Macaca mulatta: one gene and its partner. The protein of the gene in region 1 purifies or fractionates together with the protein of each later gene. This does not show direct contact. Links are inferred from orthologs where the notes say so. Each region holds a gene or a part of one and is shown on either strand. Other genes may lie near its edges. The genes, in order: PSTPIP1 and WAS.

The links.
Region 2: the proteins of PSTPIP1 (region 1) and WAS purify together in Homo sapiens (affinity purification with western blotting; 3 studies listed by BioGRID and IntAct, with this or other methods). This does not show direct contact. The link is inferred for Macaca mulatta from reciprocal best matches to the Homo sapiens genes PSTPIP1 and WAS.

Annotation. Positions count from the first base shown.
Region 1 is NC_133412.1:55,136,388-55,140,726, reverse strand, and holds the start of PSTPIP1 (proline-serine-threonine phosphatase-interacting protein 1), read right to left. Parts: upstream 3,094-4,339; coding exon 3,068-3,093; intron 2,802-3,067; exon of another isoform or gene 2,492-2,801; coding exon 2,290-2,491; intron 1-2,289. UniProt on the Homo sapiens protein: Involved in regulation of the actin cytoskeleton. May regulate WAS actin-bundling activity. Bridges the interaction between ABL1 and PTPN18 leading to ABL1 dephosphorylation.
Region 2 is NC_133426.1:48,762,841-48,765,723, reverse strand, and holds part of WAS (actin nucleation-promoting factor WAS), read right to left. Parts: intron 2,716-2,883; coding exon 2,541-2,715; intron 1,448-2,540; coding exon 1,405-1,447; intron 1,202-1,404; coding exon 1,048-1,201; intron 842-1,047; coding exon 432-841; coding exon of another isoform or gene 422-431; intron 180-421; coding exon 65-179; intron 1-64. UniProt on the Homo sapiens protein: Effector protein for Rho-type GTPases that regulates actin filament reorganization via its interaction with the Arp2/3 complex. Important for efficient actin polymerization. Possible regulator of lymphocyte and platelet function.

The DNA of each region.
Region 1 (4,339 bases):
GCTGAAGGGTTTGACAGTGCCTTGGGCTGGGGTGGGGGAAGGCCCAGACAAGGGCCAAGCTGGCTGGGCTGTTCCTAACATAACACCTGCGGTCAGAGTAGTGTGCCTTTTCTGTTTTACAGATTTGTCTACAAATGAAGCTTCAAAATATTGTTCTAGCCACCTTGTCTGATCTTCTTACCCCTCTGGGAGATAAGAGGATTTCCTCTTACCCCGAAGCCAAAAGATCCAGTGATATGAAAGATAGAGGGATCCTGCGACAACACAGGTGCTGGAGCCAGCCTGCCAGGGTTTAATCCCAGCAGTGTGACCTTGCGCAAGTCTCTTAATGTCTCTGTGCCTCAATTTCCTCATCTGAATAAGAGAGAGAACAGTAGCATCTGTTTGAAGGATTGAATGAGTGAATATGCATTCATCTTGGGAACAGCGCCTGGCACATCTTTTGTGCTCAGCAAATGTTAGTTGTTATGCACTGGGATGGGCTGAGCATCAGGAAGAGGTATTAGAATCCAGAGCCCTGGGGCAGGTGATGCCTTGATGCGTACAGTGACCTTTCGGGGCGTCGGCCCAGACTCAGTGTGAAAGGTTCCCACTGGCTACTTCTCTCCCCTTCCTGCTCTGGCCTTCCCTAGGGAAACTATATGCCCACCCCAGACCCAGGAAGCCAGCCACAGAGGAGAGCAGGCACTTGGAGACCAGGAAGCCCAGAGGTGCGACGAGCTCAGAGTGTGGGCAGGATGCCGCTCAGGAAGCTCCACAGGCGCTGGCTGCTTGCTTCTGCTGCTGCTGCCACACCCTGATCCCTTATACGCCACCCCTACCTGTGCCCAGATCCTGCCATAGGGGCTGCTCCTTGCCCAGCTCTGCACTAGGCTCTGGGCCTGGACAGAGGTCTCGGTGATAAGATAGTCAAGGGGTCCTGGCCTGCCCTGGGCTAGAGTGGACTGGGTTTCCAGGCCCTACCCCTTCCCCCAACTTTGCACACCAAGGCAGGGCAGCAAGGTGGTGACTCACAACCCCCACCACCCAGGGCTCCAGCTGCCAGCCTGGGCCCTGAGCATCCTGGTGCCTGGTCCTCCGGATGGGCTGAGGCAGCTCTGCCTCCATTCGATTCTCTGGGCTGCGCCCACCCTGTCTTTGTAGAGATGGGGAAACTGAGGCCCAGAAAGGCACAGGGTGCCCTCCCCATGTGGGGTCCTTTGCCTACTGTGCAGTCAGTGCAGAGGAAGCAGAACATTCACACGCTGGCCACAGGCCCCAAGTGGAGCTGGCCGGAAGGGAAGGAAGGCCTGGCTCCGTGGCTCTCATCCTCCTGGCTGCAGCCCCAGGAAAGGGCCCAGGGAGGGCAGGGCAGTTGGCTGGGGCTCAGCCGGCTGAGCCGAGGGCCAGAGAGTCCTCTTCGGGGTTGGAGGCAGCACCCCAGGACAGCCATATTCCCCAGCTCCAACCAGAGAGGTCTCAGCTTTTCCCCAGAGCCCTGGGCACAGCTGGAGCTGAGGGGCAGAGGGGGAGTTGAAGGACAGCTGGAAAAATGCTGAGATGATCCGGGGGTCCAAGCTGGGCTGCAGGCCACGTGGCCCGGGCCAAGTCACTTTACCTCTACCACTGGCTGGGCGCCCTTATTTCATGGGGGAAATGACTTGATTTAAGCCTGTGTTGAATTTAAGAAAGTAAGCAAGCAATTGCCCGCCTGGCTGCCTCCTTGAAGGATCCCTAAGGTCTGCAAGGGACAAGGGGCTGGGTGAGGGAAAGAGAATTACCATTTGGAGTGAGGCAAGGGGCTGGGGTCTTTAGTGCACTGGATCCCCTTGCTGATCCAATGCTTTAGTTGGTGTGTTGATTTTTATTTATCCCCATTATATAGATGGAGAGACTGAGGTTCAGAGACAGAAATGACTTGCCCAGCCTATAAGTAACAGAGCCAAGACCTGAACCCAAGTTTGTCTGGTCTCTAAATCTGTGACCCCTCCTTTGCTGCCCCACACATCCTCCTCAAGCCCCCACCCATGTGTTACCCTCTGCTGAGGAGCTCCTGCTGTGGGGAGAGGTCTCCCAGAGGAGAATACAGCTGGGGCAGCAGAAAGGAGGACCCTCATTCATGGAGTCCACTTGCCTTCCAATCCAGAAGGGTGGGGGCCCGGGTCACCTCCATGACTATTAAGACCAAGAATCAACCACTATTTTATGAGAAAGCTCCCCTCTCAGAGCCGCACCCCATCACCTGCATGGAGATTTCAGCCTAGCTCTGCCCGCTCCACTTGTTCAGTGCCCCCAACCATCCTCACTCACCCAAAATGCATCTTTGAACTGCAGCTGGGGCATCATCCTCAGGCGTCTGCCGCGGCAAAGCTTGCTCTCCTGCCACAGGCTGGCCTGATGGAGGGCCAGGCGCCAGCAGCACCGTCCCAGTCCTGGCAGGGCTGGCCCAGGCCCCCCTTCCCGCCCGGCGCCGTCTGCAGCACTCAGAAGGCAGCCATGAGCCAGAGAGGAGCTGCCGAGGGGAGGAAAAGGCTCAACCTGTTTTGTTTGGGGCTAGAATCGGCAGCAAAATGAGGAAGGAGTGGAGCTCAGTGATGGGAGGGCGGGCCCTGGTGTCCAGCCCAGCCCCTCGCCGACCCTGCGGTGATGGAGGACACAGTCTGGGACCCAGAGCAGGGAACAGGGATGCCAGCCCTGTGTGGGAGGCAGTGGCCAGTGGAAGAGGCAGGCTGGAGTTCAGGCCAGGCAGGCAGGCAGCCCGAGGCCTGCGCAGGAAGGTTTGTGCAACCTCCCCCCGGGCGGGCGCGGGGCCCTCGCCCACAGGAAGTGGAGTTGCTGTGCTCCCCTGTGCAGCCCCGCCTGCCACCTGCCATCCTGCTCTTGCCTCTGCTTGCCCCTCCAGAGGCGCGGGCTCACTATTCCAGAGGTCATATGCTAAGGGAGCTTGAGGCCCACCGACAGTGTGGCCAGGAGGGGCCCAGGAACCCCAGGTGTGTCACTGGCCAGCCAGCCCAGCGCCCTTCCAGGCTGGGCCCAGAGATGCCAGGCTCTCTACCCCGCACAAGCAAACCATTCTTGAGGGGCTTACCCAGGCCTAGGGCATCTGTCATGCATCAAAACCCGGCTGCTCCGGGACCCGAACCAGGTCCTGCCCTCAAGGGTCCCACAGTCTGGGGGCAGACACAGCTGTGCTCTGGGGGGCTGTGAGCACACAGAGGTGAGGTGAGCAGGCAGCAAGATGAGGGAGAACAGCCTGAGGCCCCGGCACTGCCCCCCACCCCCCACCACCGCCACTGCCGCAAGTCTCCTGATTAGACACTGTTTGGGGCAGAAAACCCCCCTCTGAAGATGGAGACTTCCGGCTCAGTGAATGGGAATAGACGGAGAGAGAAACAGTATTATCAAGGTACAGAGTAGGGTGTTTGGAAACCCAGCCTGAGGCCCAGTTTTTTTTCATTTTGACCCTACCCTTCAAGGGCTGAGGGACCTTAATAGACTCTCCAACTCGCTGAGCCTCAGCTTCCTCATCTGCCACACCCAGTCTTTGGAAAGGAGACGGTGTCAAGAATATTTCTGGAATTTCCAGTTTGGTGTGCAGGTGCTGGGGGCACTGTGTGGTACCACCTGAGGAAGAGCCCTGGACTAGAACCCCTACCCCAGCCCTGAGGAGCCAGGCCCTGCCCCCTCAGCAGAAGATGCAGCAGGAAGTCCTGAGCCCAGGGCAGGCTGGCAAAATGGGATGAGTCAGGGATTGTCCACAGATCACCACCCTCACTGATGTCTGCCTTACAGCTGACGGGGTGGTAAGTAGATGAGAGTTGCTGCAGATGAAATAGCTGAGCTCCCAAGTGCCCATTATGCATGCCCAGGGTTTAGAGAGAGGTGCACACCCAGTCTCTGAAATAGCCACCCAAGAGGAAACACTCTGGGGAGAATTGCAGAGCAATGGGACTGCCCCCAGAAGGCCCTCACCTCCAGAAACCTTGGACTTGAGCTAACCTTTAATCTGTAAGGCACCCCAGTCAGGTTTTTTGTTACTTGCAGCTGAAGATAACTAACAGTGTAAAAATCCCCTTGAACTTTGTAGGCCATAGAGTGAGGCAGGCTGCACCTCCCCTCCCAATGGCACCACCACCTCTGATAGCACTGGCTCAGCCTCCCTGAGCTCAGTTTCTCCATCCATCAGATGGGATGATGCTTCTAGGTCTGGAGCAGTGTAGAGACCCTCTGTTAACAGAAGTCTCCTGCCCTCTTATTGGCAGAAAATTTCACAGCTGGGCTCCCTGCCCTGCCTCTCTAGGTGTCCTTCCCATCACCTCCCAGAGGCTTCCGCTCCGGCCAGGCCTCTTCCCTCTCCCCA
Region 2 (2,883 bases), on another chromosome or scaffold:
GATTGTTCTGAGGCCAGTGCTAGCCCTGGGAGCCAGGTTTGAGGCCCTGGCAGGATCAGCTCACCGGAGGAGTGGATGGCTCTGCTCCTCTTCTGCATCACGTGCATCAGGGCCCCCACCAGTCCCTCTGAGCTCTGAGGTGGGGGCTGCAGCGCTGAGCTCTCTGGGGCCCCAGGGGTCTGCAGCAGGCAGGGGTCAGCACAGAGGGCTCAGGGCCTGGGAAAGGAGCATTTCTCCCCGCCCCTCCATCAATATTTTCCCTCCCACACACTCCAGTACCCTTCAAGGCTTCCCACCAACCTTTCCACCCTATCACTGAATCCCCAAGGCCTGGCACTCTCCTCCGTCCTGGCCTCAGCCCTCCAGTATCCTGACTTACATGGGTACCCCAGAGTTCCAGACCCCCAATCTTCCATCCTACCTGTCCTCACCTTGTTCAGCTGAATTCCCTGCCGGATTTGATCCAAAAGCGCTCCCCGACCCCCACCAGGGGCCAGGCCCCCGGCAGGCACCAGAGCAGGAGGGAGTAGGGGAGGGGCTGGTCCATTCCCGGAGCTGGGTGGCGGTGGCGGTGGTGGTGGTGGTGGTGGTGGCATGGGTGGCCCACCAGCTCCAGGGGGTGGTGGGGGTGGTGGTCCAGAACGTCCAGTAGCTGGAGGGGGTGGTGGTAGAGGGCCCCCTCGGCCTGGGGGTGGGGGTCCCCGGGGCGTTGGTGGGGGTGGGGCAACCCCCAAAGGTACAGGGGGCAGTGGACCAGAACGACCCTTGTTACCCCCCACAATAGGGGGCCGAGGGGGCTGGTTCCCTCCTCGAGATGGCGGTGGGGGCGGCGGAAGTGGCTCTGTGGAGGGAGTATAACACATAGCTGTAACTTTCATTGATTTCTTCTGAGCCTCAGTTTTGCTCATTTGTAAAATGGGTACCCCCACTGACCAACTCCTGACTGAAGCAGTATAGGTGCTCCCATAAGGACTGAGTGACTTAGTGAATCTCTTAGCTATGAGCTGCTAGGGCTGGAGAAGGGAACGTATGGAAGCAGGGGCTCACCCTGGCGCCTCATCTCCTGCCGCACAGCCTCCAGCCCACCCTGGTCCTCAATGAAGTCGTAGATAAGTTTAGAGGTCTCGGCATCGGTGAGCTGGGCCTCGCTGATTCCTGCCCTGGAGAACAGACTCCGTAGATCTGGGTCGAGGTTGTTCACCTGCCCAGGAGGAAAAAGGCCAGGGGCGGGAGTAGAGGAATAAGGTGAGGAGAGCAGCGACACGGATTGTCGTTGGGTTCATCCCAGCAAGGGATCTGAGAGGGGTGTGGGAAGGGCACGGTCTGGGCGTGGGGTCTCAGCAGTGGTCTTTGGAAGGGTGGGTGGAAGTTTAGTGGAGTCCGAGAGACTCTGAAGTTACTCACGTCAAATCCATTCTGGGGGTCCCACCCCACATGGGTGACATGCCTGGGAGAGGTGAAGAGACTCCAGTGAATCCCCACTGCCCTTCCTTCCCTCCTTTCGTAGTGAAGCCCTCTTGCCCTCTCCTGCCCAGAGAGACTCTGAGGGGCCAGAATTAATGAATGAGACTGAATGAATGAATGAGTATGGGCAGCAGTTATGGAATTAGAAGGGCTTCATAGTTTGTGGTGCTGATCCATTCACCCATCCCTCTTTCCCCATCTATTCACCCATGCATTTGTCCACCTATTCATTCACATTCATCTGTTGGATTACTGATCTGTCCATACATCTGTCTCTGCAACTGTCTGCCCACGTATGTCTGTTCACCCATTTGTCCACCAATCTGTCCTCACACACACTTGTCCATCCGCCCATCCACCTACCCATGTGCCCACCTTTCCATCTATCCATTCACACAATTTTCTACCCATGCAACCACACACTTCTGTTCACTTATCCATTGAACTGTCCATTCATCCACATATCTGTCCACCTGTACCATCCCCATCCACCTTGTCTGTGAGCCAATCAGCCTGCATATCAATCTGTCCACACACTCATCCACTCACCCATCCATCTACCATGCACCTCCCATCAACCCATCCACCCATCAACCTGTCCGTCCAACCACTTACCCATTCATTCTTCAACCCATTCATTCATCCATTTATTTATCCATCCATCCACCCATCCACTCACCCACCTACCCACCAGCCCCCCTCATCCATCATCTGCCTCATCTATCTATCCATTCATTCACCTGCCCACCCACCTGCTCCCCTAACAGCCCACCCAGAGTGGGCCCAGGCTGAGGCAAGTGAGGTGCCTAGGGTGCAAAATTTAAGTGAGTCACTCACTCTCAGAGTCAGGAATTACAGTTGCATGCCTCTGAGAGTGAGTGCCTCCTTAAATTTTGTACCCTTGGTGCCTTATTTACCTCTCCCTAGACCCAGCCCTGCACCTACCCATCCATCCACTCATTTACCCACTCAGCCACCCAGCCATCTGCCCTTCCTTCCATCGTCTCAGCTGTCCACTTGTTCATGTGCCCCTCTGCCCCCAGGAATCTGTGGGCCCACTGGGGACTGGTTCTCACTTGAATCCACTGGGTGCACCAATATCAGCTTTGCTGATCTTCTTCTTCCCTGAGCGTTTCTTATCAGCTGGGCTAGGTCCAGGTGCTGGGAGCCCACGGTATCGTGAACTCGTGATGTCAGGGTTCTGGATGTCCACTGTCGCCAGCCCCAGGGAGAGCGGACCCACTGGAGGGCCTGTGGGGAAAATAGGGTGGTTGGCCCATTGACCCATTTACCAACCAACCAAAGCACAGGGGCAAGAAACGGAAGCCTTGGGGGAAATCTGTGTGTGTGTTGGATGGCCATGGAGGTTGTGGGTGAAGGATTCAAGTAGGGTTTATGGAGAAGTGGGTGGATCCCGCA